Stegostoma tigrinum: one gene and its partners. The protein of the gene in region 2 binds, or shares a complex with, the protein of the main gene of each other region. Links are inferred from orthologs where the notes say so. Each region holds a gene or a part of one and is shown on either strand. Other genes may lie near its edges.

The links. Proteins that work in one complex are often made in the same cells at the same time.
Region 1: the proteins of mapk8ip1b (region 2) and mapk10 are in contact, whole or in part, in a crystal structure (PDB 3PTG), measured with the Homo sapiens proteins. The link is inferred for Stegostoma tigrinum from reciprocal best matches to the Homo sapiens genes MAPK8IP1 and MAPK10. Residues at the interface, in NP_005447.1 of Homo sapiens: Pro158, Lys159, Arg160, Pro161, Thr162, Thr163, Leu164, Asn165, Leu166; in NP_620448.1 of Homo sapiens: Asp150, Ala151, Gln155, Val156, Met159, Leu161, Glu164, Arg165, Tyr168, Leu169, Tyr171, Val197, Lys198, Ser199, Asp200, Cys201, Trp362, Asp364, Glu367.
Region 3: the proteins of mapk8ip1b (region 2) and mapk8a are in contact, whole or in part, in a crystal structure (PDB 3VUM), measured with the Homo sapiens proteins. The link is inferred for Stegostoma tigrinum from reciprocal best matches to the Homo sapiens genes MAPK8IP1 and MAPK8. Residues at the interface, in NP_005447.1 of Homo sapiens: Arg157, Pro158, Lys159, Arg160, Pro161, Thr162, Thr163, Leu164, Asn165, Leu166; in NP_001310257.1 of Homo sapiens: Lys83, Asp112, Ala113, Gln117, Val118, Met121, Leu123, Glu126, Arg127, Tyr130, Tyr133, Val159, Lys160, Ser161, Asp162, His286, Val323, Trp324, Asp326, Glu329.

What each region holds. Positions count from the first base shown.
Region 1 is NC_081354.1:75,132,193-75,139,424, forward strand, and holds the start of mapk10 (mitogen-activated protein kinase 10), read right to left. Parts: upstream 3,064-7,232; 5' UTR 2,780-3,063; coding exon 2,777-2,779; intron 2,630-2,776; exon of another isoform or gene 2,609-2,629; intron 1-2,608. UniProt on the Homo sapiens protein: Serine/threonine-protein kinase involved in various processes such as neuronal proliferation, differentiation, migration and programmed cell death.
Region 2 is NC_081370.1:40,883,100-40,891,075, reverse strand, and holds the start of mapk8ip1b (C-Jun-amino-terminal kinase-interacting protein 1), read right to left. Parts: upstream 3,077-7,976; 5' UTR 2,868-3,076; coding exon 2,788-2,867; intron 2,498-2,787; exon of another isoform or gene 2,390-2,497; coding exon of another isoform or gene 2,388-2,389; intron 2,308-2,387; exon of another isoform or gene 2,214-2,307; coding exon of another isoform or gene 2,206-2,213; intron 1-2,205. UniProt on the Homo sapiens protein: The JNK-interacting protein (JIP) group of scaffold proteins selectively mediates JNK signaling by aggregating specific components of the MAPK cascade to form a functional JNK signaling module. Required for JNK activation in response to excitotoxic stress.
Region 3 is NC_081390.1:9,551,375-9,559,411, reverse strand, and holds the start of mapk8a (mitogen-activated protein kinase 8), read right to left. Parts: upstream 3,064-8,037; 5' UTR 2,951-3,063; intron 1,672-2,950; exon of another isoform or gene 1,599-1,671; intron 1,091-1,598; exon of another isoform or gene 939-1,090; intron 800-938; exon of another isoform or gene 631-799; intron 1-630. UniProt on the Homo sapiens protein: Serine/threonine-protein kinase involved in various processes such as cell proliferation, differentiation, migration, transformation and programmed cell death.

The DNA of each region.
Region 1 (7,232 bases), on a different chromosome or scaffold from region 2:
ACCAATGGAGAGTTTCCCCCGATTCCATTCACTCGAGTATTGCTAAGGCTCTTTGATGGCACACTCAATCAAATGTAATCTTGATGTCAAGCAGATTTCCTGTGTGACGGATATGGCAGATGATCAATGGTGAGGAAGTGGGAACAAGGCTAATTGAGAAATTAATCCAAACAGGGTTGGTCACCTCATCTCCACATTCAGGTAAATATAGGCGTCAAAGTAGCACCACATAATGTTGCACTAGTTCAGCAAATTGCAAGCTGTGTGCAGGGGACATTATGAATCAGAATTTGATCCAACAAGCAGTGCAAGGCCCAAGCTTACATACATTATTCTATAGTTAAAGCATTCTCAACTACTGTCAGTACCTCTACAGTTTCCAGGCTGTTGAATGTTATCCTTCCAACCAGTTATCTGAGTAGGCATCCTACCATCTGCCCATATCTGGAAATGTGTGTAGCAAGGAGGCGCATTTAGTACCAAATATGGTGCTACATGACTTGATTTCTGATTAATTGACAGAACTTGTCACTGGCATCTTCAGCTATTGGCAAAAATGTGCCTCTTGCAGAAAACTAAACTGTGGTCTTTATAATTAACGTTTCTGATTCCTAACTTCATATTTGTTTCAACATCTATCTATTCAAACATGTGAAGATGTTCAAAAAGGCAATGCACCTAAATTTCTTGAAAGCTGTTTTTCTGCCAGAACAGATTGTTAAAAAAATTAATGTCACCTTTTATTAAAATACAGTAATGACAATGAAGAGTAGGTGACATCTGTTCCAGCACAACTGAAACAGGCAAAATCACAATCGTTACAGTCACAGTTCTCTTTAAGAATGATATCATACTCTGACAATGTGATTGTAGAAATTGATCATGTGAAACTGATTTTTCTTTGGCAATTTTTAATTTCTATATTATTTATTAATCTTGTCCAAATATAACTTTGTCTAAATGGTGGTATTCCATGAAAAGCCCACTCCAGGCCATTCAATAGAGCTGAAACCAAAGCTCCAAGTCCAATCGTATGCAAGGGGGCAATTTTAAATAATGAAGTCAGATGGTCATCCACCCCCTTTCCTATCTTTAACTCATTGTATCAGTTGGGAGCCTAGAAAATCATTCAGCCAGCTAGTATGAAAAAAGTATTGACATAAAATGTCAATAAAATGCCATAAGCTATGGTCTATTAATCAGTGACTGAGTTGTTTCCCCAAATTCACACTATTCTCCATAGGATGAATATGAAAATAAGTTTAAGGAACTGTTTAATATTGCTATAAGACAAGGATTCTGAATTTGACTGCAGTATTTAAAGGTAAATACACTGCAGTAGTATGCTTACATCAAATTACACCATTAACTCTATAGCATCTAATTATTTGTTACATAAAATAAGACAGAAAAATATTCAAGATCCACTTAAAATAAACAAATATGTTTCTGATTTACATTTTTAAAGTTTTTGTTTTCTGATTCTCATGCACTGTTTTTTTCTGAAGACCAACAATGTTCTCCTGTAAGTAAATATGAAAATCTATGCTTTCCATGTATATGCAGAAATTAAATCATATCGAAGCCGTCTAAAATGGCTCAGTGTTCTTAACTTTAGGTTACAGCAGAGGCATTCAATGTATTTTCTACGTCATTTGTATATACCAGGACATGACCACTCCTCTAATTAACCACAATTATTTCATTTAAAGAAAAGAGGAGAAATAGATTTCCAGCTCTGAATATCAAATGTGCAAGAACTGCATAGCTTATATTTTAAAACTGAGCACAAAGACTTATGTTGTATCTGTGCAAAAAGACGCCATCACATTTGCTAAACAAGCTAGGTGTATATCCATATTTGGTCATAATCATTTGCAATATTTGCATATACCTTTCTCTCCAGAGATTCTCACACAGAGAAGTCACCAACACCCTCACTGTATAAAACGCCTTCCTCGGCAATAATCAAGAATGCACCCCAGGTAGTTTGTGCCTCTCTATCGTTCTATCCTTACAGACAATTTTAAAGCGAAATTGGCAAGTAACACAGTATTGTGAAATAATGTGATCAAGAAAATGATCAGAATACTCATTTTGTCAAACGGAGTCAGAAAAATAAATGTTCAGTGACCCTTTACAGATCCTTGTAATGTTATCAAGCAGACAATACTGATGAATGGCCAGAACAAAACACTTCCAATCCTTCTTTCAGCCGATGCTGAATCTCTTCACAAGATTAATTAGATGCGTGAATCAAAGCAGAAATCATGACCCCAGATTTCTATCACTTCGAACAGGCTGAAAGACAATCAATTAACCCCAATGATCCGAAACCGATTCACTGATATCAAAACTTGCTAATTCATCACTAAATTCATTTTAAAACAATTCGTTGTTTACATGTATATGTATATGACAAGCTATAAGGCTAGAAAGGTGTAAAATGTTTCTTGCCGACTATTTGCAAAATATTCATTTCACTTTTATCAAATTCCTCAAGTTTTCTCTTTCAAACATTAACTAAACAGTAATTTACATGCACTACATCAAGCCTTAAGCATTATTTTACTCATGTACTTTGCATTCTCTAATGACAGTAAGTTACCGGATGGATGCATATCAATACGAGGAAAAAGGCTACATCCAGCTGCCACTTGCTGGGATGCTTTCCTCATGCAATTCTAGCGGTCTACTTCATTAACCTTTGCTGAAATCAATATTCATCACCCCACCCTTAACAGGTTAGCACACTGCATCAGTATCAACCACCTACCATGCCGTGCCAACTGAAGAGAATCCTGGTATGGTAACAGTCCCCCCCACTGCAATCCGGATTCAAACCATTTTGCTTTTCGCAAAAGAAGAATGAAACACAAAAGATGCACAATGGATCGGAGAGGATGCCTGGAAAGGAGGAGGAGGAGAGAGAGAAGAGAGCTGCTGGAGAGGAGGGAGAGATTGCTGAATCACCGCCATCACCCGTGTTAAACCATTGTGCAGTCAATGCTGCCTGTACCAGTGTGGAACCTACCAGATGAGACAGACAGAGAGCCTGGGGAATAAGTTTCTATGGCAACTGAAAGGAGCACACATGACGTCAAAGCTCGCAGAAGGTCTGGGGTAGGGGGAGAGACTTTTAAATCTGACAGTATCTCCATATGCTTCCGTAATGACTTATTTAGAACCCAGTACAAAACAGTTTATCCCATAGACCTGCACTTAACACACGAATTATATAGCCGTAGCAAGCAATTAATACAGAGAGTGCACTGAGGCATCTCCAGCCAAATGTTGCCTACTGTACTAGTTTTGAAAATGCGCAGAATAATAATTTTGTTACCAAAGTACAGTTGGAGAATACTTTCGTTCACAATAAATATTCATACAGTGCACAAAGGTACAATTACCAGTACAAAAATTTTAATATATTAAAATAAAATGTTATTATTTTGTGTAATTCAACATAATCGTTATACAATATTCTTGTACAACAAGGAGGAAGAGGCTTCTCCCTACCTGTACACGCACATACACATCCACAAACATTTTTCTCATTCTCACACAACCAACTTTAACTATTTGAGGATTCTCCCGCTGTCTTATAACTGCATTAGTATTGTGTTTACCTTGAGAACACCAGCCGATTCAATTATTGTTGCTGTTAGTTTCTACCAAATTAAAATTCATTATTTTACGGATCACTGGAATATTCGTTACCCAATCAGATTAGTATATAGTTACCACTCTGAAGTTTATAAGATTATTATATCGTGAGACAGTGCCTTTAAGGCAAAAATGAATGGGATCATGTGACCTGTTCCAAAATGTGCCTGACAGCAAGCCTGGCACGTGGTTTGACTGTTAAAGATTAAAAGAAACAGTTTATTTTACTGGGAACAAGGTGCAGGTGAATATAGTTTGGAAGCAATGGCAGCAAGCTGTGTGCTAAAAGTAGAAATACTGTGAGTCTCCAAAGTTCCAGAAGCATGTTGAGAATGTTGCTTGTAAGCTGGATGGGTATCAGCCGCTACCTGAGAGGGAAAATCACATTTATTTATGAGTGAGGCTGAGCCATCCAGTTGAGATCTAGTCCATTATAGCTTGAAAGCTGGAATGGAAGGGAAGGGCTTCAAAGTGGAGGCACTGTCTTTGATATGGAGTTGTCCCGGTGCCATCAACATTGATTTCAGATCCCTGGAAATCTCATGGCATCAGATTCTTTGGGTATATTTAGGGCTGAGATAGATTTTTGATCAGGAGGGGAATCAAGACGTTTGGGAAAAAGGCAGGAGAATGGACCCAAGGTGTGTCACATCAGCCATGATGCCATTGAATAGTGATTCAGGCTCGAACCCCTGAACAGCCTACTCCTGTTCCTATTTGTTATGGTGCTATAATCTTAGATCAAACATGGGGAAGGAAATATCCTACTGATTGTCACATGTTGTTCTACTTTAGCTGATAAATCAGTACTCCTCCTTGTTGAGAATTAATTTGAAGATGCGCTGAGGGTGGTAAAGGCACAAAATGGTCCATCATTGTCCAGTAGTACGCATACCTGCTACTGAGTGGATGTTAGTGGTTCCTGTGCCATAGCTAGTTGAACCGTAAAGGACCTAATTGCTAAACTGGTTCTGATGCAAGTGATTGAAGAACCAATGAGAGAAAAATTTACTTGGCATCATCTCACAAATTATCTGTTATAGATGCATCCAATCATGATAGAGTTTGTATTTGAGTCACAATCATACAGTCCTTGTAGAGATCTTCATATTGAGGCTATTCACCATTGTATTGTGAGGCACTACCACTGTGCTAAAGCAAGTAATAGATTTTAAATAGATCTAGCAACACAAAACTTGGTATCAAGAGGTGCTTTGACTAGCAGCAACAAAATTTTATTCAATCACAATCGATAACCTCATGGCCCAGCATATATTCCACTCTACCATTACCATTAAGCAGGGAGATCAACCTTAGTTCATTGAAGAGTGCAGTGGGTTATGCCAGGAACAGCATCAGGCACCAATATAGTGAAGCTACTTCAGACAATTTGCTTGCCACCAAAGAAGCAACACGCAATAGAAAGAGCTAAAGAAATCCCACAACCGGTGCATCAGATCTAAGCTCTGAAGTCTCACTACATCCAGTCATGAGTAGGGATAGAAAATTAAACAATGAACATGAGAAGGAATAGGCTCTATAAACATCCCAATCCTCAATGATGGAGGAGCCCAGCATATCTGTGCAAACAACAAGTCTGAAGTATCTTCATAGAACATAGAACACTACAGTGCAGTACAGGTTCTTCAGCCCTCAATGTTGTGCCGACCTGTGAAACCAAACTGAAGCCCATCTAACTTACACTATTCCATTATTACCCATATGTTTATCCAATGATCATTTAAATGCCCTTAAACTTGGCGAGTCTACTACTGCTGCAGGCAGGGCATTCCATGCCCTTACTACTCTCTGAGTAAAGAACCTATCTCTGACTTCTGTCCTATATCTATCGCCCCTCAATTTAAAGCTACGTCCCCTCGTGCGAGCTGTCTCCATCTGAGAAAAAAAGCTCTCACTCTCCACCCTATCTAATCCTCTGATCATCTTGTATGTCTCTATTAGGTCACCTCTTAACCACCTTCTCTCTAACGAAAACAGCCTCAAGTCCCTCAGCCTTTCCTCATAAGATCTTCCCTCCATACCAGGCAACATCCTGGTAAATCTCCTCTGCACCCTTTCCAATGCTTCCACATCCTTCCTATAATGCGGCGACCAAAACTGTACGCAATACTTCAAGTGTGGCCGCACCAGAGTTTTGTACAGCTGCAAAAGTGCTGAGTGTTACATTCATCTCAACATCTTCCGAAGATCCCCAGCATCACAGTTTCCAGCATTCAGCCCAAATGATTTATTCCACATGATATCAAGTAATGGCTGAGTAGCTCTTAGCCCCCCAGGTATGTTCTGTCATTCAGTATGATCATGATTGATCAAATTATAACTTCAACACAACATTCTTGCCTACGTTCAATAACATTCCACTACCTTGCTTACCACAAACATGTCTACCTCTGACTTAAAAATATTCACAAACTGTGCTCCTACCATCTTTTTGAGGAAGAGAATTCCAAAGACTTGTAATCATTTGAGGAGAAAAGGTTCTACTTTATCTCTAACTTAAATGGACAACCCTTTCTTTTTAAGATATGGCCCCTAGCTCTAGATTCTCCCACAGGAGGAAACGTCCTTCCCACATCAAGCCTGTCACGAACCTCCAAGGATCTTGCGTGTTTTAATCAAGTGGCCTTTTACCCTTCTAGGCTGTAGTAAATAGAAGCCTAGCCTGTCCACCCTTTCCTTATAAGACACCCATTCCATGTACTCCACTCACTCTCATAGGTCAATGGCCTGTTGAAAAGAGCTGTACAAAACATTGTTCCTCTCAAGTTAAACACAGTCTTAAAGGCTGCTCAAGCACTACACTGCAGTGTCTGTCTACACTTTGTACCATTGAAGGTTAACCAGGGATAAAATAGTGCAAGAGAGGTGCCTCATGATTGTCCCCAACCTGGTGCTTATCAAGATGGCCCAGAATGCACAACATTCAAATTCCACATCATGGTTAAAGCCTTCATGCCCCCCTAACCTCAGTACCAGTACTGCCCTGTCTCACTGACCACTGCTGTCTCCCAAACAGCAGGGAGAACTCTTTAAAATGGGAACAGCTAAAGATACCATGTATACAGTCATATGGATAACAAAATATGTGTGCATCAAATGAAAAGCTCCAGGAATGTGGAAATAGTCAGCTCCACAGGGAATTTCCATTGAACCAACAGTAAGTAACACAAGAGAAGGAATGGGAGGAAGTGAAATCCTAGCACATCCCACCTGAAAGTAGGTTTGAAAGGGATTCTGTCAGGCTTTTAACACACTATGGTGCATAGCTCCATCTTGGTCTCTTAGATGACCCTCCGGGCAAATGTCTTCATTCTCAACATCAGATGATTGCTCTCAATCCTCCATTTTGTCTACCTCGAGTCATAGAGTCATACAGCACAGAGAAAGACCCTTTAGTCCAACTTGTCCATGCCGATCAAGTTTCCCAAACTAGTCTCAAGACTGCCTTTGGGCCTCATCGCTCTAAACTTTTCCTATTTATGTACCTGTCCAAATGTCTTTTAAATGTACTAACTGTACTTGCATCTATCACTTCCTCTGGCAGT
Region 2 (7,976 bases):
AATACTCCCAAACAGTATATTTTAGACATATTATTAAACTGAAAAGGAACAATACAAATATAAGTTGACGTTTACCGAACTTTTACAAAACTGCAGGCTGGTAGTGAAGCGATCACCCGCCAATTGCTTGAGAAGGTGCAAGACCTTTGTCACAAGGGGCATGCTCAGCTGCTTCTGACAGCAGGGAAGATCCAACCATAAGTTTGGGGCTGGAGTCTCCAGGCCATACCAGGCAAGGTATCAGAGTTTCTCCCCTATTGAAAAGACGGAAGGCTTGCCATTTGTACCTCGTCTTACAGTAGTCCCACAAACAGATGATTCTTATCCCTTTAAATAAAAGCTCTTATAGTTGTTGGTGATACCGGTTTAAAAAAATTAAAAATAATATAGATGGAAATCACAATAACATTCCCCAAACACCACCAGAAATCCCTTCTCAGGAGCTTTATCAGTTAAAATTTGACCATACTGTTGGACGAGACAGGTCAAGTAAGCAAAAGATTTAAAGGAGGTGGTATTAAACGTGTCTCAAAAGGAGGCAACAGATGCAGAGAGGTTTAAAGAGAGAATTTCAAAGCTTATGAAGACAGCATTGGTGAGTCAATTAAAAACAGAATGTTTAAGAGGCCAGAAGTGAAGGAGCACTGAGCTCTGACTTTGTTTTTAGGGCTGGAGGGGGAAATCCTACAATTGATGCAATTTTAAATGGAATTTACAGCCAAGAAACTGGCCATGTATCTCTTTGGTGCCAGGCTGTTATTCGTGTGTCACATCAATTCCCTCCAACTCTAGACAGAAAGAACTGCAGATGCTGTTTTCAGAGTCAATGCATCGTGGAGCTGGAGGTCAGGCAGCAGAGGAACAGGAGTGCCGATGTTTCAGGTCAGGTCCCTTCATCAGGGTGATCCAAAATATGAACTCTTCTGCTCCCCTAATGCTGCCTGACCTGCTGTGTTCATCCAGCTCCCACACTATATTGACACAACTTAATCTTGTTCCATTGTATAACTTTCTTTTCTTTCCTCTCCCTGTATTTCTCCACTTTCTTCTTAAAAGCATTTACACTCTTCACTAAAACCACTCCATGCAGTAGCAGTGCCACAATCTCAGTGCGAAGAAATTTCCCCTGGAATTCTTATCTGGAACTGTCAGCGATTATCTCACATTCACGGAACCTCCGAGTGGCAGCATTTTCTTTATGCCTGTCAAAGGTCACAACCAGGTCATCCCTCAGTTTTCTAAATTTCATAGAAAATACCTTATACCAGTGAGTAATGGTCCCAGTTGCCAGTAAACATAATAGAAACCACGATACCGTCTCAATCACTGAAATATTCTGGGGAAATTCTATAGAATAAAGGAATATTTATGCCTCCAGGAACAATAGAAAATCAATCATGGAGGGTCAAAACAGCAGGAAGTAATTTCACCAGAACAAAAACACTGGAAAGATGATGTGAGAAAATCCCACATATTAAAAGAGCAAAACGTGGGTCATTGTACAACATCTGATTTAATAATGATAGGCTTTCATTTACATAGTGCCTTTCCTGGTCCTCAGCCATCACTAATCACTTGACAGCCAATTAGAAGCTTATGGGGCAGGTTGAGTGTGTATAATAACACTTCCAGATTTTAAGAGAAAATAAAACTAAATGCTAGAGGATTCTTGTGGCGTACTGTCGTGTGCACCAGAAGGCCTGGTTCAAGTCCCACCTGATTCAGAGGTGGAATTAATCAGAAGCTACCATGAAATGCTTACGAAGGGTAGTCACTGTTGCAATCTCAGGAATATGGCAGCCTACAAAGCTGATTCACACAAACTACAACAGAAGATCAGGTTTTAAGTGTTTAAAGTGTGTATCTCATTTGGGCCCTAAATAAACAGTAGCGAAAAAGGAAGAGTCCCCAGTATTTTTCACCACCCCGCGAATAGAAGCATTCACATTATGGTCACACAGAACGTTGAAGTAACGCTTCATCCCAAGGGCGCACCTCAACCAAAATGTTGCGCCCAAGTTTCTGAACGGGATTTCAATCCACAATCTTTCCAGACCAGAGAAGCAGACAGCCTAATTACCATTTCAGAGCTGAAATTCAAATACCACGCAATTTGATAGTTTGTTTCAGGCGAGCTGTCCTTTCCCGAGTTAAACACTGCACTTCCCAACATCTACATCATGTTTACATTACAAATAGACTCACAAATGCATGAGGTTGACTCATCAACCCACGAAATAACCTGGCCGTCCCGAATCCAGTTTAACAAACGTGAGATAAACAGCTTTTTTAAAAAATAAGGAAGATGATCCAAACGTTATTTTGGATTGTAATCTCCGCGGGGAAAACACACTTCCGAAGATGTTTCTTAAAGAAAAAGATCTCACATTTAAAATAAAACCTTCCCCAGCGTTGCTTCCCGGTCCATTCTAACCGGGAGCTGTCCACGCCCTGAAACACAATCTGCCACTTCCAGCCACCATCAGAAACGCGCATACCCAAACAATCTGCAATTAAATCAAAATTAAACCCAATTCTCAGTGTTACTCACGATTCAGTGGGGGGGGGGGGGGGTTTGGAGAAGAGCTCCCGGTGTCTGCTCTCGCAGACCTAGCTGTTTCTGTATCTCTTTTCCCACCCCCTTTAAATGCTCAAAAGATGTCCCTTCCTCCTCCTCCTCCTCCTCCTCCTTCCTTGGCTCATCAGCTATTGCATTTCAGATCAAACATTGCCAGACAGCACAAAAGCCACGACTCGAAATCGGCGCTGGTGGTGCCTCTGCTTTACCTGAAATTGGGAGGCGAGCTGATGTGGAGTCCCGGAAAGGGAGAGGCAGCCGGCGAGTTCATGGACTCTGCATCCGCCATTCTCCATACAGAGCCCCCGAAAGGCGCTTTCACTACGTCAGACCGGGGCAGCCTTCAATGCAAAGCGAGCAGCTTTAACCCGCTTTGCACACCGGCATCTGTCACCGCGACAAGGTGCACACACTCCATAGGCCTCCCTCCAAAGAGACACTTCCGCCCCTTGTTGAAGCTGCAGGCACGGGGTGTCTGCTGATGTGCTACACCGTGATACGACGTGATGCGGGGGGTTGACACCAGAATTGGAACAGCTCCACCCCAACCAACCCATGCTTCCAGCTGGCGGAGAATTCATTGAAAACCAGTCACTAGGGATGGTGATCCACCCCCCCCCCCGTCTCCGAATGTCTACATTCTCCAGGAAGTTGCAGATGCATCTTCCAAGACAATTACAGGAGAGGAGGGATCCAACAAAGACATTTCCTGGAATATTTCCATTGTATTAATTAGGGAATTATTGAAGGTGAGAAAGGGAACAGACAGCAAAAATTGACCCGAGTGGGGCCAGTTGTAGCGTGTCAATATTTAACAGTATTATTCACTCTGAAGATGTGCACATTACTGGCAATGACAATGGTTCTTGCCCGTCCTTACACATTGCACTTCAAACAGTAATGGTACATGGCCCAGGAGAGGACTGGGGCTCTTCTCATGCAGCGGTAATGCCTATACCTGTGGGTCAGGAGGCCCAATTCCAAATCCCACCTGCTCCAGAGGTGTGTCAACATCTGTGGTCAGGCTGTAGAAAATATCTGGCCCAGGAGAGGAGGGCACCTTTAAGCTCCAATAACTGGACTCAGGGCTCTAGTTGGAGCAACAGCATCAGGGCTTGTGATTTCTATCCTTACTCCTGAGTGGTGAATCACCTCCTTGAATTGTTGGAGATTATCTGTGTTGGTGCTCCACAGGGCTGTTGTGATAGGAGTTCCAGAATCTCTGACCCAATGGTATTGAAGCAATTGTGCTATAGTTCCACGTCAATTTGGTGTGTAGTATAATGCATGCTGAGGTGGTGCCACTGAAGGGAAGCTTGGCAGGATCTTCTGTGTCTTTTCACTGCAGCCACAGCACTAAAAATCTGCTTCCCGTTTTCCAGAACAACCTCGGAGATCAGACGCAATGACGACGTCCTTGTTCCTGTTAAAAGAAGGATCTGCAGTTAAATGGGACTCCAGTGTACTCAGTGTGGCTGATTTCTACATTGCGGTTAACGGGAGACTCCGGAAACCAAATCTGAATATTGCACTGCATTTGGATTCTTCCCCAAAGTACTGACTCCTGCACGTGGGGAAAAAGAGGACTTAGCACGTAACAATGGAAGTGATCAAGGAAGCGAGGAATGTGGTTCCTCAATCCTGGAGACTATGCAGTAACAGATTCAATAATTTCATAAGGGCAGGAAAGGAAAATATCATCCATTTTGAAGTATCAAGCTCCACTTTCCTCACTTCCCCAGCATTCTCCTCATGGGATCCTCAGAACAACACACCTTCCAATTCTGCCCATTCCTCTGACAATGTATCTTTTCACATCCCAATCAAAACAGCTAAGACTCCCGCTCACTCTCAGTTTATTGCTGTCATGCTCCATGCCTCACAATCCCAGTCCACCATTGTTGTTATTCCATCCTCTCCTTTCAATCCATTTCTAGTAAACATTGCTCTTTTCTGTCCTTGAATGCGAAGCAAATACAAAACATCAGGGGGATGTCAAGATGAGGCTAGCCCTTCAGTGAAGAATGCCTTGATGGCCATCGGCAATGTATGCCTACTGGATCCATTGCACAGGATGTGTCATCATGACCATATGTGAAAACCTGAGCTTTCTGAGGCACTGGTGTTCTGCAAAATCTGATTCTGTATTGAGGGTCTTACCTTCTTCCAGATGTGGAAATTCTCTCTGTCCTGAGGAACATATGGCTGAGGAGAAAACGGCTGTTTCTGCTCTTTTGCTTCATCTTAGAGCAAGATCCAAACTAGTGCTACATATGGTGTAGTGATGGTTGATGCTGAGCAAGTTGAGTGGAATCCAAGAGAAGTAAACTGACTTCCAAAAACCTTGAAGCAAAAGGAAGCCAGTCTATCTGAACAAGAACTGTGAGGTCTGGCTTTTCCAGTACACTGGGCAGCAGCAGTTGGCTTCACCTCTATTTAAAGGGTTTCCAACATGTCAGTTTCACTGATTACTGATTCCTTCCTATTCTCTCGCATTACTGACTTTAATGAGTTCCTCATAGTTTGTCAAATTTGTGTACTGTCTGTAAATTTAACCCACAATTTTTGCCTTAAACAATCAGGCCCCTTTCTAAATATTGAAATTGCTGACTTGGCAGCTCTTCAAGGATATCCTATTCACCTCCAAACACAGCCCAGAAATAGAGAGGAATCTGTTGACTTCTGAAGCCAGAGGCAACAAAACTTGTAAGTGTGGTACAACACACACAGAGGCATTCCAACCATTGTGCCTCTCTGACTATCTGTAAGAACTATCCAATTGATCCTACTCACTCCTCTTCTCAAGGGCTTCATTATTTTCCATTTTAAGAATTGAAAGTTAACATTCAATCTTTTTTCACCACTATTTCAGGCAGTGTATTCCAGATGTTAAAAACTGGTCTTTTATGTTCTGTTCTGGGCACCTCAATTAAGGAAAGATGTGAAGGTCTAAGACAGAATGAAAAGGACACTTATCCCTGGAAACATCCTTATGAAGAATTCAGTTAATTGTACATATTGGATAGGCTAAGGTTGTTCTCCCTGGGTTGAAGGTTGAAAAGAGATTTGACAGAATTATTCAAAATCATGAAGGGTCAGGTTGGAATAGACAAGAGGAAACTGTTCCCATTGTTGTTATAGATTAGTTGTATCCAATTGTATGCAGATAGTAGGCATTAACTGGAATACTTTGTAGTATTGGCTTGGAAAGTACAAGTTTGAAATGTTTATCTCTGTAAATAAATGCTGATAAGTGGAGCAGCATGGCGGCTCAGTGGTTAGCATCTGGGTTGGATTCCACCCTCAGGCAACCGCCTGTGTAGGGTTTGCACATTCTCCCCGTGTCTGCGTGGATTTCCTCCAGGTGCTCCCATTTCCTCCCACAGTTCAAAGATGTGCAGGCTGGAAATACATTTTCCAGTTTATTTATATTTTCCTGAAGTGTCATACTACCCTTCTGATTGTTCGTTGTGTTTCTAAATTTTGAACTCACTGCAAACTGCCTCCTGTACCCAAATTTAGATAATGAATGTATGTTAAAAGGAGCAATAGAATTTAACCCTGTTAAATGTGAGGTCATGCATTTTGGAAGAAGTAACAAGACAAGGGATTACTCAATGAATGGTAGGACACTAGGAATTTCAGAGGAACAAAGGAATCTGGGGTGCTTGCCCACAAATTGCTGAAGGTGGCAAGACAGGTTAATTAGGGTAGTTAAAAAGCTCAGGCACTTGCCTTTATCAGTCATGGCATAGATTATAAGAGTGGGAAGGTTGTGTAGGATGAGGTTGTTACCTTGCTCACCAAGCTGGCTGGTTATAGTTCAAATGTTTTGTCACCATGCTAGGAAACATCATCAGTGCGGCCTCCAATGAAGCGATGTCGTTCTAGTCCAGTTAGTATTTAAATGATCCAGCCTGTTGAGGTGTTTTTGTGTCATTTCCAGGTTTTTTTTTGCAAGGGTTTGTGGGACAGGTCCCACCTCCTTGACCTGTCCGTCTTCCCTGGACTGACCTATCCCCTCCCTACCTCCCCACCTATACTCTCCTCTCCACCTATCTTCTTTTCTCTCCATCTTCGGTCCGCCTCCCCCTCTCTCCCTATTTATTCCAGAACCCTCACCCCATCCCCCTCTCTGATGAAGGGTCTAGGCCCGAAACGTCAGCTTTTGTGCTCCTGAGATGCTGCTGGGCCTGCTGTGTTCATCCAGCCTCACATTTTATTATCTATTACTCTGAGAATGTTGTCCTTGTTGATGGAGCTGTCATTCAGCATTTCTGTTTCCTCCTACGAACATGGCCAGTGTATGGAATAGCGCAGTAAATTCAAAGGATACCATAATCTCATCATCAATTTTGATTTTCTTGCCCTTTTTAAGGAATTCCTGGGTTGAGTAGGTGGAGTTGGGGGATCTATCAGCCAGATGTTTCAGTCTTTGTTGTAGGTCCTTGGAGAACCTATTTGTAGGTGTGGCCAGTAGGAGACAATGGGTCAGAGGGGGATATCTGGTTTGTGTAGTTTAAGGAGTCAATATAAGCCGGGGGCGTGTTTGAGCCTTCTGGTTTCACTTTTATGTCATCTTTCTTGGTTATTTTTCCTGCATTCATTGGTCTCAACAGTGTTTGGGTGATCCTATTTCTGAGCTGCAGTGTTGGGTCTCTCTCCACCTGTTGGTAAGTGTTCAACCAGAACTCCATCAACAAACACATTGACTTGGAGCCAATCTACCATCCTCTGAGAAAAAGAACAGAAAATGACATCACCAATGCAGGAAATGACATCACCAACCTGAGGAAACCTAAACAGATAAATAGAAAGCGGGACATAACACCAGCGCTTCGTCAGAGGCTCATTGATGATGTTACCTAGAATGGTGACGAAATGTCTGAAAACTAACCTTCCAGCTCAGCGAGCAAACTCACATCCAGAACCTCAACCTGAGCTATAAATCTTCTCAAAACTCGCTAAGTGTCTGTATCTGCAAGCAGTGCCTGTGCTTTTTCAATGTCGCCTGGTTCGTTCATAATGGCAGTCATATGCCCTTTGTCCACGGGTAGGATTAAGATGTTCCTGTCATTCTTGAGTTCTTTGAGTGATTTTCTCTCTGATGTGTTTAGGGTGTCCCAATTATTCCTCCAGTTCAATGCCGGGATTATAGTTCGTCAGATGGTCTGTTGAATTTTGTCCGTGATTCCATTGTTTTTTAGTATGGCTTCCAGTGTGGCCATGAACTTTGTTCTGTTCGCATGCCAGTGGTTATAGTTTAGTCCAATATTAGAACAGCTTTCTCAGTTTTTGTAAGTCATCTGTTGGATAGGTTTCTTACCCATGAGGCCGGTTTGTGGTTGTCCTTGTCTTTGGGGAAGACCAATTAGGTCACCTTTTCCTAAGCTTTGCC
Region 3 (8,037 bases), on a different chromosome or scaffold from region 2:
GAACAGGGACTTCAAGCTACATAAAATGTAACTGTTGAGTTCAATTGTACTTATCTTAAGAAAAATACCATTAAACTAGAGAAGACAGCATTATCCCAAATTTGACTGCAATTTCAGAAAGTCAAAAACGGTAAAGAATTGCAATTCAATTAAAAGACAGAACCTTTCAACGTAGGAACCAGCAGCTGAAAGCTCAGCTCCCTGAAAAACACGACCTTTTCACCATTTCTCCAACAACACAACCTGAACAAGGATGCAAGTCTCTTGTATTAGTGATTGCGTGAAACACTGAATCCCGCAAACAAAGGAATGGGGAGGAGATGGGGGGGGGGGTGAAGAGAAATGAGGGGCTCGCGTGGCTCAAATACGATCATTCAAACGTGTTTTACGCTGATATTTAAAGTGTATTTTGCAGGTCAGCCTTTATCAATAACACAATTTGCATCTGCATGTCGACCAAGAAAGGATTTGAAATAAAATCCGCCAAGTGTTAAAGAACATAAGTGCATGCTATAAATAGAACGCCGGCGATTTTCTCTGCAATTATGGATACAGCCAGACCCTAGTTCCAAAGCGTTTACAATACCACATTTCCCGAAGACTGGGTCGACACCGGAGAATGACAATTACCTGGGCACCGAAATAAACTTCTAAAACATGTTTGAATCGAAGAGGGTGTCGATCTCCCCACCTCCCCTTCAGATCGCAAGTGATGGGGTATTTCATAGCAAACAAAAGAATCTCAAACCGATAGAGCCAGCGCCGCAGATACAGCGAGGCACAATTACCAGAGAAAAGTCTGTCAGAATACAGACAGAAAGGCACAGAACTCCCAAACAAACACCAAACTGCAAGTCAACTGATTAAATCCGGGATTTCGCAATGGCCTGCACATGTAGGAGCAGGATTGAAATAAAAGCAAAAACAAAATTACGCACAATTTGTATGAAAAGGGGATGATCACTCCCGCTCTTGTCCTTGGAGAGTGCCTGAAGAGCCTCTTGTTGGCCCTGAGGTAGAAAGCTGGTTGGACTGAGGGTAGTTCTCACAGTCGGTCCACAGAGTAAAATATACGGTGCAACCAACACAGAGGGATGGGATCCAGCAGACAAAACTAAATGAGTCCTCTGGACGTGCAGGAGGTCCCGGGGGGGGAGTCCCAGCTGGTGGCGGGAGGATGTCTGTGGTATTTACACAAGACAAAACCAGAGACACATGGGGGGGGGAGAAAGAAGAGACGTGACAGGAAATATATGGGGAGAGTAGGGGCTAAGCAAGACAGAAAAAGATGACCGCTGTGGGACAGGGTTAAGGGAGAGTGTTGTGTTGGGCAGAGAACCCCTTCGACTCTGAGTCAAAAGATCCAAATCGAGTACCACTTGACAGCTTATGTGGTCAAAACATCAAACTGTGAATTCTATCAACAGGGAAAAAAGGGTTTGGGGAATGTCAAGCTGGGAGTCACCTAGTTAGACTGACTGCAGAGTGGAGCCCACAGCCCACTGGGAAGAGGCCAGAGCCCTGTTCCAGGATAAACCAGCTGTAGAGACAGACTTAAAACATGGGTTTCATCCAAGTCCCTACCTTTCAAAACCCACCTGCTCCAGAGGTGTCATTACATCTCCCTCAGCATGTTAAGTGGGAAATATCGACAGTGTCTCTCCTGGCAGACCCGGATAGGAGACTTCTGACAAAGCAGCAGGAGATAAGCTGCTGTGTGGGGGAAGGAGTTACACTGCCTCAAGGACAGGGCGTTTAAACATACAATCACAAGGCCCAGGGAAGGGGGTATTTAAAACACACAACACCACCCCCCCCCGCCACCAAGGGTGCCGTCGAATTGTAGCTGTAAAACAGAGTCCCCCCCCTTGCTGCCCACAACCTCCCTCAGTCTTTCACCACCAGACCTTGTGCCCCACCAACTACCTCTGCTTCGCTCTCCTTCTGTCCCTCACCTCCTCTAACCGTTAAACCCTTCCATCTCACCGTTGCGACCTCAAAACCTCCCCATACCCCAGTGTTTGTCCCCCGTCCCCTACACCTGTCCCCATACCCCAGTGTTTGTCCCCCGTCCCCATACCCCACTGTTTGTCCCCCGTCCCCATACCCCACTGTTTGTCCCCCGTCCCCATACCCCACTGTTTGTCCCCCTGTTCCCTACACCTGTCCCCATACCCCACTGTTTGTCCCCCTGTTCCCTACACCTGTCCCCATACCCCACTGTTTGTCCCCCTGTTCCCTACACCTGTCCCCATACCCCACTGTTTGTCCCCCTGTTCCCTACACCTGTCCCCATACCCCACTGTTTGTCCCCCTGTTCCCTACACCTGTCCCCATACCCCACTGTTTGTCCCCCTGTTCCCTACACCTGTCCCCATACCCCACTGTTTGTCCCCCTGTTCCCTACACCTGTCCCCATACCCCACTGTTTGTCCCCCTGTTCCCTACACCTGTCCCCATACCCCACTGTTTGTCCCCCTGTTCCCTACACCTGTCCCCATACCCCACTGTTTGTCCCCCTGTTCCCTACACCTGTCCCCATACCCCACTGTTTGTCCCCCTGTTCCCTACACCTGTCCCCATACCCCACTGTTTGTCCCCCTGTTCCCTACCCCCAATCCCAGTGATTGACCCAAAACCCTCCCCCAGTGCTTGTCCTCCTCCCCAAACCCCCCTCCACTGTTTGTCCCCTACCCCAGTGTTTTCCCCATATCCCCTCCCCCACTGTCTGCCCCTTACCCCCCACCCCACTGTTTGACCCTACCCCAGTTTTTGTCCCCTAACCCCTCCCCAACTGTTCGTCCCTTGTCCCTTGTCTCTTACCCCCTACCCCCTACCCCCTACCCCCTACCCCCTACCTCCTACCTCTGTTTGTCTCCATACCGCATACCGCCTACCGCCTATCCCCTACCCATATCCCCTACCCCCCTGTTTGTCCCCATATCCTCACCCGTTCCGGCGCCGGACACAGACAAAAACCCAGCAACAGATCCACCGACAGCGGCCCCGCTCACCGACTGCGCAAAATAAAACTACGTCAACCGAGCGTGCGCGCCCCCGACAGTAGTCAGGCGCGTGTCCGTCGCCCAGCGGCAGAGCGAGTGAACGCGCACTGTCACTCGATTCCAGCCTGATCAGAGCCGGCGCCGGGGTTGGGGGGGGGGACCAGCAGCCAATAATGTTCCTCTTTTATTTTCCCATTCTGTCCCTCCACCTTCGCAGTTTTCACTTTCTGTTTTTATCCCTCTTGTCTTTTCCCATTCTGTCTCTCCACCTTCGCAGTTTTCACTTTCTGTTTTTATCCCTCTTGTCTTTTCCCATTCTGTCTCTCCAATTTTGCATTTATCGTTTTTTGTTTATTATTCTCTTTTTCTCTCTGTCTCTCTCCCTTTTTTATCCTCACTTTCTATTATTCCGTCAGTCTCTCCCCACATCATACCCTTCCCGTCCTCAGCCAAGCTCTGAGAAATTTCCACTTTGTCAACCTGGTAAAATGCCTTTGAATAAAAGCACCATCTACAATTCCATCTTAATGGTAATGCTCTTTTAAAATAACAATGGACACAGCCAACATTTCATTTCTGTCATGAACTTACCATTTCCCCTTCATGGTTTGTTATTGGTGTGGGAAATTTTGAACATTCACGAGGAACTACATTTAAAACATGAATCCATTGCTTACATGAGAAGTGTGCAAGGTCATTGTTAAAGCATACACAAGGATTTAATCATCCAACAGTAATGTTGAACATTTGTGACAAATAGGCACAAAATCAACCTCTGAAAAGAAATAGTGAATTGAATAGCGCTCATCAAACAGCATAGGTCTGCTTGACTTTGTTACATAGTTAGTCCAACCTATGGTAAGTTTGCTGTTTGTGTTGCTCTTTGTTCTACATAGCAGCTTTAACCAGGATTCAAGATCAAAAGCCAAAGATTTAGCCAAAAGAAAAGTAACCTGAAGAAGACCACAGAAAATGAAAGAAACGTATTTATAGAAAAAAAAATGGATTTAATTAAATGAAGTGATAGATTTGCATTTTGCTCTTTGTAGTTTGTATCACCCACTGTCAGGAAAAATCGGAATGGGAGTAAGTTCTTTAGCTCCTCCAGTCTGTTTCACCATTCAATTAAATCAAGGCTGATTTGTGACCTAACTTCAACTTTATGTTGAACATGGACGGCGTGTCAAAATCTTACCCCTGACCTCAATGAAGTCTGAGGCAATGAAGAAAATCAGTTGATCAAATGAGATGGGCTGCTTCATAAATACCAGCATCTTGTTCTATCTGAATCAATTCTTAAAATCAAGAAACTGTGACAGAAGCACATAAACAATGACAAATGCGTTCCAGCTTTCTCAGCCCTGCAAGGAAATACATTCAAATACTTTAACAATCCTATGTTTATTTCTAATTAATGCAAGCCAGTCTCAGAAGTTCAGATGATTATAATTGAGCTCAGTGCTCTTCAATTTTGAACACTTGGGGTAGGGAACCTGGGGCATTCCAGAGTCTAAACTCCAAACCCCAATAGGTTTCATTGTTTGGCAAGGACAGTATTCACTGTAGCTGCAATGACTCAACAGAAATAGTCATGGTACTTTAAAACATAAAAATAGTCAACTGCATGGGATACTAAAGGGATAATGATGCATATGGAAGCATACTGCAGAAATTTTCTGCTCCTTGACCTTTTGAACACTGAACAGAAAATTGTACAAAAAGTGTTCCACTGTTTTTCAAAATAATGGCAGCTTCCGAGGGAATATCCATCCACAAACCTTTTAGCAAGGTGTATGTCCATTCCATCAGTTTCTTTGAATCCTGGACTCAGTTCAATTTTCCTACCCCAGACTCTCTGTCCGTAATTTTGACTCTGGTTCAGTTTTATTTGTTCAAAACAGAGGGAATCAAAATCATTTAATCAGTGATCCATTCTAGAAAGCCAGCTGGTGAAAGATACAACTGGAGTCAATCTTTCTGCACTTTTAGATTCATTTCTAATGTTCCACGTTCAGTTCAATTATCATTTGATTGTGCCACAGGGTTAAACGGTGATGTGCTTTCTGTCACTGAGCCTCCACATAAATCCAAACTTGGGATCAACAGCAACATGTAATGGTTTCCCCGCATGAATAGTTGAGTGCCGGGCAAAAGTAAGAAGCATTGAGGGGGAGAACGAGCACTTCAGGTCAAACTTGAATTGTCTCAAGGACCAGTGCTGAAACACTTCCTCTTCCTCACCATCATGGATATTCTAACTGAGCAGGTGAGGCATGGTGCAACAGTGTCTGCAAATAAATACATGGTGGAAATTATGAGAATATTACTGTGCATCTGGAGGAAAGCACAAGAAGATAGAGCTATGAAGATCACCAAACCTGTCAAAAAAATGTCAGATTGAGGCTACAGAAAAGAATTAGAGTAAAGATATAGATAATGGATGACTTTAATCTTTATTGCATCAAATGGGTAGAAATAGCCATTAGCAGGAATTCATTGAGGTTACTTGGGCAGCTTCCTAGAACAATATATTATTAAGCTAATCAAATCTGGCTATTTTGAATCTGATAATGTGTGACAAGGTAAGTTTAATAAGTGGTGTCAGGCTAAAAGATGTCTTAGGAAACAATGACCATAACAACCTGAGTTTAACATTCAGCTTGAGAGTGGGAAACCTGGGTCAGAAATAACTGTTAAATTTATCATAGTTTTTGGTGATAAGACTCAATGGGCTGAAGGACTGTCTCTACAATATGAATCTATGATCGTATGAAAGGTGGGTACAAAGGAATGAGGGGACAGTCAGTTGGAGTAGACTGTGGGAGATCAGCAGAAAGAAACAGTTAATGAACAATAGCAGATGCTTAAGAAAATAATTCATGACTTGCAGCGAAGATAAATCTCAGAGTGGAGGAAGAGTTCTATGACCAAAAAAATGTTAAAAGAAGTGTGAAAATAAACTTTGAGGATAAACTAGCAACTGATATAAAAAGTGTTATGATCCCAGTTGATATTATTCCTGAATAAGTCAGGTCTCTGAAAGAAAGTTGGATTGACAGATCATATTTGGATTTGTTTTGGGTTTGAATGAAGTAATCTCTCACTAAAGCACTTCACACAATGCTGCAGATTTAACAATAAACCAAAAGTTTATCAACAAAGGAAATTGAGACCTAATAGAATAAACCAAACCCCTACTTATAACACTGAGTTTTAAACACACAGTAAAAGTGTATTCCTTTTAATCCCAAAACACTTCATCATAAATTGAAAAGGAAAAACAAAACAAAACAGTTTTTTATATGGTACCCCAAAACACACCTCTGATACGGCACCTAAAACACTACTTTTACAATACTCACAAAGCATATCCTACACCTAGATATCTAAGATGCATGTTCTTCAACATACAGACTGGAACATCAGATAGTTTCTTCTCGGATAGTAGGAACTGCAGATGCTGGAGAATCTGAGATAACAAGGTATAGAGCTGGATGAACACAACAGGCTAAGCAGCATCAGAGGAGCAGGAAAGCCGACGTTTTGGGCCTATCTTGTTATCTCAGCTTCTTCTTGGAGCTATTATATAATTGAGCTACAATGCACTCAGCTTGAAGCCACCTGCAGCTAAGCTGTTCCAGTATAGCTACAATGCTGACATCTATCTGATAAGGTGAAAAATTACACATGACACATCTTATCCATAAAAACATGGAATAAATCCAATATGACCAACAAATGCCCCATCAGTTGACACTTATTCTTCAGCCAAGTGGTGAGAGATATTGTCAACAGTACTGTCAGGCAGCACTTGCTCAGTTAGAAGCTGCTTACTCACGTTCAGTTTAAGTTCTGCTAGGGCTACTAAGCCCCTGACTTCATTACAGTCAGGGATAAAAGAGCAGAACATTAGGGCCAAGATAACAAAGTGTGGAGCTGGGTGAACACAGCAGGCCAAGCAGCATCTCAGGAGCACAAAAGCTGACGTTCCGGGCCTAGACCCTTCATCAGAGCTCGCTGATGAAGGGTCTAGGCCCGAAACATAAGTTTTTGTGCTCCTGAGATGCTGCTTGGCCTGCTGTGTTCATCCAGCTCCACACTTTGTTATCTTGGATTCTCCAGCATCTGCAGTTCCCATTATCACAGAACATAAGGGCCAAGTGAGAGTGAATGTCCCTGACATCAAAATATCATGTGAACATTTGCGGCATCAGGTACCCTGAGCAAAATTGGAATCAGTGGGTATGAGGGGAATTGTTCTATTGTTTGCAACCTAGCTTAGTTGAAAGGAAGACTGTTATGGCTATTGAATGTCAATCATCTTAACTGTGAACTATTGCCATAGGAGTTCTCAGGATGGTATGCTTGGCCTAACTAGCTTCAGCAGCTTCAGCAATGACGATCACACCATCATTAAGTCAGAAGTAGGGATGTTTGCTGATGATGGCACAATGTTCAGCACCATTCATATCTCTTCAAACACTCAAGCAGGTTGTGTTTGTATGCAGCAAGACCTGGGCAATACCCCATTAAATGACTAGTAACAATTATGCCAAACAAATGCCAGAGAAAATCTAACAATCACACCTTGATATTCACTGGCACTACCATTGTTAGATCACCCATTGCCAACATCTAGAAGGTTACCCCATTGGCCATGAACTGAATTGGACCAGTCATGTATTTGCTGTTGCGAAAATGGCATGTTGGGAGCAGGAAATAACTCACCTCCTGATTCTGGCTTGCTTGTCTATGATTTATAAGGAAAAATCAGGAATGTGATGGAATACTCCCCACTTACCTGGCTAAGTGTAATTCCAACAACACTCAAAAAGCTCATTGCCATCCAGAAAACAGCAGTCTGTTTGATTGGAATCTCAAAACTTGTGCCCTTCACCACCGACATCTACAGAATAAATTGAAACTCCTCACACAGGATTCCTCCAAACCCATACACTCTACAAAGTCAAATGATGAGGGCAGCAGATAATTGGCTACATCATAATTTACAAGTGTCCCCCTAAATCATACA